Coturnix japonica: one gene and its partners. The protein of the gene in region 3 purifies or fractionates together with the protein of the main gene of each other region. This does not show direct contact. Links are inferred from orthologs where the notes say so. Each region holds a gene or a part of one and is shown on either strand. Other genes may lie near its edges. The genes, in order: LARP7, RO60 and SSB.

What was found.
Region 1: the proteins of SSB (region 3) and LARP7 purify together in Homo sapiens (affinity purification with mass spectrometry; 4 studies listed by BioGRID and IntAct, with this or other methods). This does not show direct contact. The link is inferred for Coturnix japonica from reciprocal best matches to the Homo sapiens genes SSB and LARP7.
Region 2: the proteins of SSB (region 3) and RO60 purify together in Homo sapiens (affinity purification with mass spectrometry; 3 studies listed by BioGRID and IntAct, with this or other methods). This does not show direct contact. The link is inferred for Coturnix japonica from reciprocal best matches to the Homo sapiens genes SSB and RO60.

What each region holds. Positions count from the first base shown.
Region 1 is NC_029519.1:51,156,862-51,160,510, forward strand, and holds part of LARP7 (la-related protein 7), read right to left. Parts: intron 3,136-3,649; coding exon 3,017-3,135; intron 553-3,016; coding exon 393-552; intron 1-392. UniProt on the Homo sapiens protein: RNA-binding protein that specifically binds distinct small nuclear RNA (snRNAs) and regulates their processing and function.
Region 2 is NC_029523.1:3,395,300-3,398,948, forward strand, and holds part of RO60 (60 kDa SS-A/Ro ribonucleoprotein), read right to left. Parts: coding exon 3,058-3,649; intron 1,998-3,057; coding exon 1,777-1,997; intron 1,521-1,776; coding exon 1,374-1,520; intron 469-1,373; coding exon 331-468; intron 50-330; coding exon 1-49. UniProt on the Homo sapiens protein: RNA-binding protein that binds to misfolded non-coding RNAs, pre-5S rRNA, and several small cytoplasmic RNA molecules known as Y RNAs.
Region 3 is NC_029522.1:16,280,083-16,284,242, reverse strand, and holds the start of SSB (lupus La protein), read right to left. Parts: upstream 2,898-4,160; 5' UTR 2,787-2,897; intron 639-2,786; 5' UTR 630-638; coding exon 564-629; intron 140-563; coding exon 36-139; intron 1-35. Other genes in the region: KLHL23 (kelch-like protein 23), read right to left, coding at 3,999-4,160. UniProt on the Homo sapiens protein: Binds to the 3' poly(U) terminus of nascent RNA polymerase III transcripts, protecting them from exonuclease digestion and facilitating their folding and maturation.

The DNA of each region.
Region 1 (3,649 bases), on a different chromosome or scaffold from region 3:
CCTTAAGTTCTATAGTCTAGATCTAGGGTAGTGATGAAACCAGTCTCAAAAGAAGAGAATTAAATTGATCAGAGCAAGTAAAGCAACTATTTCACTCTATACAGTGGCTTAAGAACACTCACTATTTTACTAATTCCATTACAGTCAAAAGTTAAGACTTATAGGAAATAAATATACAATATATAATAATAAGAAGTCTGCTCAACAGCTACAAAGACACTTAAATTTTTATCCATAAAGCTATTACAATACTACATGATATACATAAAAGATATGACCTATAGTCAGCCACTGTAGCTGTAAAGATATACATTTGTCTCCTTCCACTAATAAAAAAAACTGGTAACAAACAAAAATACCACACAAAACAACAAATAAGCACCAAGACTTACCAGTAAGAATTTCATATTTCCAGTTGTTTTTTATCTGTAGGTCTTTGTGAGACTTCATGACTGTCTGTGCATCCTCAGGAGTATTAAAACGGACATGGCATTCTGTGTCTCCTTCTAGCATGTCAACATAAGCAACATCAGCCAGCATTGCCAAAGCATCCTATCAGGGTGTGTGAGAACACAGACTTCAGAGTACAGAAGAGTGGCTATTTTGACCACACAATTTGTAGAACAGCACTCATTTTTCATAGAAGGTTATGGAGTAGAAAGTAGTAACAATTTTTGAATCACTTGTCTAATAATTTTGAGTCAATATATTTTCATAAGATGAGCCCATAACTTTAAGACAGCTATTAACCTCTCATTGTGCTCCCAAGAACTATTTTAAGCAGTAATTCCTACAGATATTTCTTTTTCCTAAGAACAATTTTGACTAATGGAACACTAGTTTTGAAACAAAACGGACAATAACTATATCTGTACTAACATTCCTTCAAAAGAAAATAATAAGTGTTGTAACACTGAAAAGCGTCATTCCAATAGAAAAATATTCAGGGTCTTCCTACATATGAAATCCACACACACAGGTTCCTTTAAGGCAGATAATCTAAAAAGTAAAAAAAAACACAAAACAAAACAACAAAACAGTCCTTCCTATCTTTATGAAGTGATCTCTGCCTGAAAATTTTCACTAACAGCTGAAGGAGGAAGAGTCACACATGCTCTTTCAGATGAAGTACTTCACTTGTAATACCTGCTGTTAGGGAAATTAACTAAAACCACACATTCCTAGTCCATTTTGTTCACAGCAGGCAGCTCAAGCCGCTACTGTTCAAGAATTACTTGCTTTTAACCCCATCCACTACAAAGCACAACCTTAAGCAAAACAAAACTAAGCACCAAAATTGTTGAGATCCTTTGAGAATCAAAACTACTGTTCATTCTGATAACCCAAAGTCATCGTGTTTTGGTTTTTAAATTAAGACTCACACAACACATAAGTTTCTCTCCCCTGAGAAACAGGGGAGCAAATGGAAGTAGCACAGCAAAAAACTAAAATATCAAAATAACATTAGAATTGCACTGAAAAGATCTTTCAGGTATGTAGAAGTTCCCCATGCCTGTCATGCAAGAAGAAATACTGGAAATTTACTAAGAAAAACCTAAATGCATTGTCTGGCGGCAGCAGTGCTGTAGATATGACAGACCTGGTGGACAGACAAAGTAAAGGCTTTTGCTGAAGCGTTAAACATTTCACAGAAGCAACTAGTATAGCCACAAGTCAGCCAGGGAATGTCAAGTATAGTTTGCAGTTCCCTCTGCCAAGCTGAGAAACAGCTGGAGCATCCTGAGGATTGTTGTTTGTTCCAACTACAGATGTATTTTACAACTGTATTTCTTCCTAAAAATCTTTCCTCATTTGTTTGGAGATATTCTGTATAATATTTTGCCTTATTATGGAAACCACAACAACTATTAACAAGAATAAAGGCCATGCCAATCTTGTTATGTCTTTACTTTCACTGAAATGTTCTTCTTAAACTAAAGAAAAAAACTAAATTTGTTTTATTTGGAAATACCAGACTGGAAGTTTATGATTTCAGCAGTAGCTGAAAATGAGCTCTGCCCTACCTGAGCATAATGTGTTATGTGACAACACAAACTCAACTACATAAAATGTACTTTGCAGTCAAACTGAACTGGCCTTAAACGTTACAGTGACAACTACCACATTCTCAGTGCCTCCAGTACTCAGACGACTGCCTACAAATACCAAGGCAGACAAGACTGATTAAGGTGAAACCTCATGTATCATCAATTCCTTTTCAGTGAAAAATACCCTTCAAACCTTGCTAGTATTTATGCATACATTCAACTTCACACACTTGCAAGTAGAAAGCTCCCAACAATGTACAGTTAGATATCTAAGTAGTATGGTAAGCTACCTCAGAACTTGTGTTTAGATCCATTCCCATTATAAGTGGTCTGCACATTTATTCTAACATGAGTTAAAACCAAATGACAACTTTCTCATACAATATGTTTTCTTAACCCCAAATTCCTGTTGTTAAAAACAAACTAACTAACTAAAACAACAAATCACCACATACCGAAGCAAAAACAATTTACCACTATGGATTCCTTCATTTGATTTGTACCAAAACTAGTGGCACAATTACATACAGAAAAAGGTGCACCCAACAACATCAAACTCCTATTCCTGAAACGGAAGATTGGTCTCAGCAGTGATTTACTTTTAGCAGTATAACATTAACCACATTTTTCACACAGCAAATGAAAAGACAGAACAAGAAGGGCTGGAGGTAGAGGTGACAATTACTCATCCTCCAGAGCATTATTTATTTCTGCCATTATTTTCAGCCTTGGTTGAAGCACTCAAAAGGCTACATCTTGTTTGAAACATTCTCTTCACCCTATTTTGCCATCCTAAATTCTTCCATTAACAGGTACTAGAGAGGAATCCGAACACAGCTACAGGTAATCAAACAAACAAACAAAAAAATATCGTTAAAATTTGTTTAAATCGTATTCCATATTCAAACATTTGGGTGGCACTGTAAGAGGAAAGGCTAACAGCTACCCTGAGGTTACAAAGGCATTACCTTGATCTGCTTCCTGCCCGGCAGGGGCTCAGTGCTAATGATCTTCACAATTACTCCACTCACAAACTGGGGCCCCATTGTGTTAGCCTTGACAGGAGGGGCACCATCTTCACTGGTGGCTGATGGATTGGAAAAAAGGAGAGAAGAAATTTCACATTTATCAGTTTGGCAAGCCAAAATCTACAAAAGCACAGAAGCAACGTGATGTACACAGAAATGAAAAAGGAACATATTTTAAAATCGTGGATCCAGATTCCTCTCTAATGTAATAACATAAAAGAAAAAAAAATCGTAGCTTCACAAGCACCCTAGAATATTTTTTCTTCTATTCATCACAGTTAATAACCAAATCCTGAATCTATAGTGATTTAAAATAAACGACAAGTCTGTTATCGAAGTTCAATTCAATTTCAATTGAATTCAATTCAATTCACTAAATGGGAAAGGAAAGAGGATCCTGAGGTGGGGATGGGAGGAAACAATTCCATTTCAGAAAAATATACTAGTAGATCCAAGAATATGCAGCTTAACTTCTAGCTATAAACCTGATCAAACCCCATTATAAGGCATTTCTGAATGCTTTAGATTAACAGTTTTGTAGCCCTTAGAAGGGATGGTTAAACAACACAGGCC
Region 2 (3,649 bases), on a different chromosome or scaffold from region 3:
CACTGACATCAACTGCAACTACAAAACGTTTTCCTGTTGGTTCAACTGCCTAAAAGGAAAAAAGAAAAATGAAAACATGTACAGATGGGTTATAAATTTGTTCTTCCTTCTGCTTTCCATCTAGATGCATCTTGTTTATTTTTTCAGGACAATAGCATTACCAAAAGCTAAGTCGTTTTTTCACCTCCCTCCATTTAATAAAATCATTAAGACTTTTGTTATCAAGTTGGAATACTCTTACCCACTCAGGAAACACTAAGATATATTTTTATAGGCTTCCAGAAAAAGAAAAAAAAGACTTAAGCCTAGTAAATAGAAGCATTACATTACCTCAAAACTTTTGTAGAATGAAGCATCTAAAGCTTCTAAGATGTCTTCATCAGGACGCCACCAAAACTTCCCTCTGCTTCCATGTCCGGATTTATATGTTTCTAATGCAACCAATACGTGGAATGGATGTATTCTACCCTACAGGCAAAGTAATAAAGTAAGTTTTCAGAAGCCTGAACTTAATAACACATTAAAAAGCAGCACAAACTAAGATGACTGTAAATCAAAATCCACTTTGCTTCAATTGCTTTTGAACAGTTTATGTAGTGGCTGCTGCATATTTTAAAAATCACAACTTCACTCTGCTGATTTATGAACATTTTGTTGTTTCTTTTCTCTTGGCGATGTTCAAGTCATGTTAGCAAATGGTAGGAAATCTGAATGCCTTCTATCAAGGTGTTACGCTACCACCTTCGCACACCTTTCTCCCATGTGTCAGTAATGACATAGAATGAAAGAAGAAACAACAGAAAGCAAAGAGCAGTGAGAGAGGAAACAAAAAATGGAACTTGTTCTCAATTCCACTAACCAACTAACTCAAAAAAAACCAACAGAAAGTCACTGATCTTCTCTATATCCCACTAAATACCTACGGATTTCTTCCCCTCCTTTGGAGAACCCTACCATTCCTCATATGGTATAATGGACAGTAAATCATCCTGAAAGGAGAAAGTCTCCCTGTTCTATCACTTTTTTCCTATCAGAGGCTAAGCTAATTACACTTCATTCACTTCCTGGGGTCCCATGAAAGAGCCTTCCCTTCACTTATTAGGACTGTAAAGCTGACTCTAAGTTACAAGACTTATGAAGAGTGGATGAACCCACTAGGCAAAGCTTGCCACGGCCTTAATTCACTATACTAGTTGTCAGTACCCTTCATCTGTAAAACAGCTCTAAAGTTTATTAAAAGAATAAGCTACAGATTTCTTACAAAGACTCTCTCCTTCATTTCATAAAGACTTTAGGTAAAGAAACAGTTTTGGAAGAGGTTGAGAGTCAAAGGTTGGCAATGATTATGAGTTTAATCATGTGTTAATTTTTACCTTTTTTAGCAGTTTCTCATTTCGCAGTCGTTCACACACTGTTGCCACTTCTGAACCCCGTGGCTCAAGGACTGAATTTGCAGTCATCTTTCCTAAATTCCTCAACAAAACAGAAATGGGCATGTCTTTCAGCAACGCCTTCCACACCTCCAAACAAAGAACAAGAAAAACAAGATGAGATTCCCAAGTACAAGAAATGACACCTGTGTGTTTACTAAGTGTATTTTAAAATAAATGTGCAAGTTACATGAAGGCTTGTATTACAATTATCTACATGTGTAAATAACTTGGAAAAAAAAAAGCAGAGGCTTATTTAGCATAGGCTTATTTTTAAGCAGAAATCTTAACTTAAAATATTAAGTGTTACTCTAAAAAGAATACAAAGCTCCTCAAGTTTACCTACCTCTTTAGATTTCAGATGGTTTGTCAATAGATGTTCCCTAACGAGACCATATTCCTCTATTAAATGAATAACCTCCAATTCATCTTTCGTGTGTTTCACTCTGTCCACAGCCTCCAAGTATTTTAAAAGCTTTTCAGTCTCAGCAGAAACTGCTTTGTCTTTGTAAGCTTCTTGGACTTCTTTCCACCCTTTGGTGATGTACTTAGTGACGATGGCTACTCCTATAGAGAAGGAAAATATTTTCCAAACAGGGTTACAGTCTTAATACTGCCATTCATCACTCCAGCAAACAAACAAGTTAGCAGGTTATTTTTGTGAAAAACCAAATGAAGTAACAAAGAAAAGAACTGCAACTTCCCAGATCCGATGATCAGTTCTAAGAAGGATCAGCTCCATACAATTTAAAACAGCTGTTTTGTTTACTGTGTTATTCTCCTTGGCAGTAAAGAGCCTAACAGATTCTAAACCATCACTCTTCCCAATTAATGAACAAGTGTTATCTCAGCATTTGTAAGCAGACAGGAACAAACTGAAAGTACTATATTATTTTAACTTCTCTTGACATAATAAGTAAAACAAGGAATAAACCCTTTTAACCTTGAAGACAAACAGTTACATTTCTGACATGATCCCTCACACCTTTACAATGTAATTTACATGATACAAACAAACACTACAAAATCATCATCACACTGGCATAGACAACGAAGGTCAAGGAAGTATAAACAGTTTACTATAAGTATGTGAAAAACAAATGAAGTCATAAACAATCTGACTACAAGCAAGTACATGGTAACAAGCTAATATCAACAAAAAAGAAAGAAAAATGCCCAATGAGGGAGCCCTAGGCTTATTAGGGGTTACTAATACATTAAAGATCATACACCCCTGTATGGAAATGAGATAGGAAATGACAGCAGCTTCTCCTTCCCAGATGTACCATCTTTGAGCCCTTTAATACGTATGTTTTAAAGATGAAACAAAATAACCAATTAGAAACTGTAAAGAGAAGCAATTCTGTAATCAGCTACCTACAACCAACCACACTTCTAGTCAGGTGTGTGCTTGCTTTGCAAAGGATAGCCTAACACCTGACTGTGCAGAACTGAAACAGAGACCTTTACATGAACTCCAACTAAATGTTACTATTGGCCGCGTACACCAGACATGAACTCAGCCCCTAAGAGGGATAACACAGGTATTTGTGTTTGCAAAAAACATTCCACTGTTAATATTACAGGTTTAAAATAAAGTATTTTCAGGTGGATGAAAACGTATTACCTTCACTGGCAGGTTTCAGGTGGGACAACCTCAGAAGATCTTTATGAGACCAACCATTTCTTTGTTTATATTTTGTAACTGCTAATGCAACAGCCATGCCATTCTTTCCATTGTACCAATCTGCCACAGCTCTTCTCAGTGCCCGGCCCCATATGCCACACTTCATGCCCTCCTTCAAATCTTTTTTAAATTGGATGAAAGAAAAGAGATGAGTTGGTACACAACACACCACAGGAACAGCTTTAAATGCTGCTTGTTTTGTTTTTGCATCAGAACACTGTGAACAAACTGCAAGTGCAAAAAGCAGGGGCTCCTGTTTGGCTGTTCTGCCTTCTTGACTGAATGTCTTTATTTCCTGAACAACTTCACACCCTCTGCCTTCTTCAATCAGTCTCATTAAAGCTGCTGCATTTTCAAAGCCCAGCCTCTGCTCCTTGACACAGTAAGTACCGCCTTCTGAACCAAAGCACAAGAAGCGGTGCAGTCGATTCATGTCAGTGACGTCCCACGCATCATTGCTGTCAGAGTCTGGCACCTGCATTTCATTTGGGGGTTGAGCTTGGTCTGCCTCATCCGCCATTGTTTGTGCTCC
Region 3 (4,160 bases):
ACCCTTCTATCCAGATTAGATGTACTTTGCTTTACCTGTTGAATTTGATCATTACTTCCAAAGGCACCCAACCATCATCTAATTTGATCTGTTCCTTTAGGAACTTGTCCCTTGGTAGGTTGTGATTGCCAAAATAGTACTGCAAAAAAATAAAAATAAAAAGACAGACTTGTTTTGGAATGTTCAGACTTTAAAAGCTCTTTTCCATTTGGCAGATGACAGCAGTGGATGGAAATGTTCAAAATTCTAGTTGTTATTTTCATTGGAATTCTCATATTATTACTTCTTGCTTCAACGTAACACTTCCAAAAGTAGATTATAGTAGCAAATTATGCAGCATGCTAATATTTTGAACAGCACAGATTCCCAGACAGGATTTTTCCCCCAGAAATTAAGCCATACTGAATTAAAATGCATTTTTCTATTTGCATGCAAAGAATAACTCTGACAAACAGTAACAAATTGTTTACTGATGCACAACTTCACATTAGCCAAGTCCCTACCAATTAAGGTCTCCAAAAACTACATCTCAGTTCAGGTCCCAAATGATAAATTGAACTTACCTCAATTTGCTGGCAGATTTTGCTTTCCAAGATAGACATGTTTTCACCATCTCCATTTTCAGCCATTTTCACCAGCTGTGTTGAAATCAGAGCACAGTCACTAAATACTAATTACCAACTTCTACAGAGCTTTCTTGTAGTGCTGCATTTAATTGCAGCCCCTACAAGCCACCTTTATTTTGGTGAATCAGCTCTAAATGTGACTGCAGAAATTCCAAGTGGAAACTAGAACAATTAACGAACAGGTAAAACAGTTCATTTGTCTATAAAGCACTTTGCAGAAACTTGGGCCACAGCCTACCAGCTTACAGTTGCAGTCACTTCAGAGATGTCCCTACACAGCCATCCTGATTCCAGCAACGCCATCAGTTCAGTGAGGACTCAGGTGCTGCCATCATCACTACACTCCCCCATGCTGTTGTCCCTGGCACCTGACTCACTAAAAAAATGTTTGATGTTACCTAATTTTGTTGAAATTATTGTCAGCCTACAGAATAGTCTCAGCTTTTTCCCCTGGATCAAGTAATTAACCACACACTGTGTGCCTCTGCAGCACCTTATCCAGGGAAAGCCAACCTACTGAAGAACTGTTCCACTTGATTCATTTTATCACTAACTTGTTTCAGAGTCTTGGAGACACAGTGATGTAGATGGTACAGCTGGGAGAACAAGAGACCTTGAAAACCTTTCTGTCTGGGCAAGGTGACATTGCTATGGCTCTTCTCAGAGCATGGCAGATTTTGTTAAGCGCTTCTCAATCTTCTAAGCGAACCACTGTCCTATAGGTACTTTTCACAGTGTAGCTCAATTATTTAAGACAACATACTAGCTTATTAGGAGCTGTGGAAAATGTTGCTGTCTTGCATATTCTGAGGGGAAAAGAAATTTTTAAAAAGATGGATTTTAATAATGTATGTTTTTAAAGAAGCCCAGCACAAAAGTACAACGTGCAGCTGCACTGAACTGAGGACAGGAACCGTGCCCCACCACCTCACAGCCAGCAGAGTCCAGCAAGGCAGCAGAAAAGGGCCAGGCAAGAGGCAGCTGCTATGAACTCTCTGGGGTGGGATGCAGCCAGACTGTACCACCATGCCCCTTCGGCTGCTCTTGTTTTGTTCTGTGGTACCAAATGGTACTCACTCTTCTTACTGTTAAAATAAGCCTGGGGCTCCTTTAGGATGCTCAGTCCTCAGCAGTGCTGCCCAGGTGAAGAGTGAGCAGAGGCAGCATCTGAGGTGATAGGGTGACAGGAGAAGCACTCAGCGAAACCAGCGGTTATGCTTTGGTTTTGTCATTCAGAGACAACTCCAGTCTGTTGGGGGCAGCCTGGCTCTTGTAACCCCCCAAGAAACACCCTCATCCGATCAACGCAGACACTGCTGTATTTACCACTGGGTACCGCAGGGGCCATTAAGAAACACTGCGGTAGAAGTGACGTGCAGCGTTGTGGAAAAGCAGGCCCTCACCCTTACGGGGCCCCTCCGGGAACACAGCGCCCGCAGCGCGCCTTGCAGAGGCCCCGCTGCGCTGCTGAGAGGGGCAGAGCAAATCCTACTTCGTAGATAGCGCTTCAAGTCGGAAAAGCATTCCGTAAGGAAGTCTAAAGCAAAGGAGGCCTACGGCAAGTCCCCGAGATGAACCCTTACAACCAGGAAAGTTCTCCTGGGCCCGGCATCCAGGACGACAGCGCCGAGCCGGGCAGCGCCGGAGGCCGCTCCACACCCCGCACACATGGACTGCCGCAATAGCGCACAAGAGCACAACGGGCGCGAGGTAAGAACGAATTCCTCGTGCCGAACACTCCGATGCGAGAAGCAGCGCTGCACGACGAGCCGCCGGATCGCTCCCGAGCCGCTCCCCGCCGCCAGTTCAGCCCCGGGCGGCTCCGCAGCTGCAGTTCCGCGGGGCACCACGGCAGCGCCGTCCGCCACGTGCCGCCACCCGCGGGCACGCAGGGGCGCGGCGCGGGACGCCGAGAAGCATCGCGCAGCGCGCAGCCACCTCCGCGGGAAGCGCTGCCCCGCATCCTGCACGGCGGCCGCAGGCAGCGACACCCTCCGCCCGGCCGCGCGTTCCGGCCTCCTTCCCGGACGGACAGGCAGCGAGCAGCGCGGGAAGCGCGGCCCGGAACAACCTGCGGCCCCGCTCCCCTCGCGCAGCCCCCGCCGCCCGCCCGGAGCCGTCCCCGCCCGGCGCCACCCGCCGCGCCGCCCGCACACCCACCTGCACCGCCCGGCCCGGCTCAGACCGCGCGGCTCCGCTCCAAAGGCTCCAAAGGCTGCAGGACGCGCCGCGTGCCCAGCAGACACCGCAGCTCTCACGTGGGCGCCTCTTCCGGGGCGGGGCCGCTGCCGGAAACGGCGTCGGGGCGTTGGCGGTCAGTGGGTGTTACGGATATTAGCGATTACGTTGGAGATGCTAACGGTGCTATAAATACGGGTGTCACGTTAAGAAAAGCTTTAATACATCGTAGAGTGTTCATCGATTCGGCTTATGTGCCGTTCATTCCGGGAAAAGGCACAATATAAAGATCGCCGCCTGCGTTCAGCTCGTCAATAAAACGGGATCGCGGGCTGAGCAGCGCAGGTTACCGTACAGAAAATAGCACCAGGAGCAATAAGGACCTTCAACTTTTACACTCTGTTTAACGCATTCAGCCGCGCTGTGTGTTAGGATTGCTCCTGTCAGACCGCATGCAGCCCCACAGCAGCGGGGAGGCTCTGGTCCACTCAGTCCTGCTCCACCTTCCATTCCACATGTTAAATGTAACAGTTATCATAGTAAGGCTTTTCTCCAAATAAATAGCCATCAACAACAGCTCAACATCAACAAATCAGTCCAAAATCCCACTACAACGCCATGAAGCCAGCATACAGTTTCTGTTTGCATAACTGGGCTACCAGGTGATATTTCTTTCCCCTTTCTCTGTGTGTTCTCTTCTTCACTCTGCCATCTGAGGGTGGATTTAGAGATGCCCTGCAGCTGCCTGCAGTTCCTGGATGCGGTATCACTATGTGTAAGTGATATCACTGTGTATGTCCCACACACCAGATCTGTGGCAATGAACCATTCCTACAGCTGTCTTCAGCATATCAAAGATTACATCCTAGGCCCGCTTCTCCACAGAAAGGCAAAAAGGTTTAACTTAGCACCAAGTTAAAATTCTACCCAGTGACTGGTGAAAATAAATCTGTTTTTCACAGTCAGATACAGTTACAGAAAGTATTATTAGAGTCATTTGAAAGTTTCCATGACAGAGAAAACATATGAAAATATTTTTTTTCCTTATTTACCTTTCTGAATTGTTTAAAACAAATTGAACAGTCCTTAATGAATGTGCACTAGGAGATTGTATTAGGCATCTCATTCATGAGGTAATCAGTACCATTAGGAATACTGCATGTTTCCTTTGTCAGCACTATGAAAATGTCATGCCTACACATTATACACACAGACGCAGCCATGTGAACGCATGGCACTGGGAAGGTTGCCTACTGCTTCCCACGTGTTTAGTTCAGGGTTGTATTTCTCAATACTCTGCAGATACGTTCCTTTGGAATAGGAATATCCTCCTGTCACATAGATGCACCCGTTCAT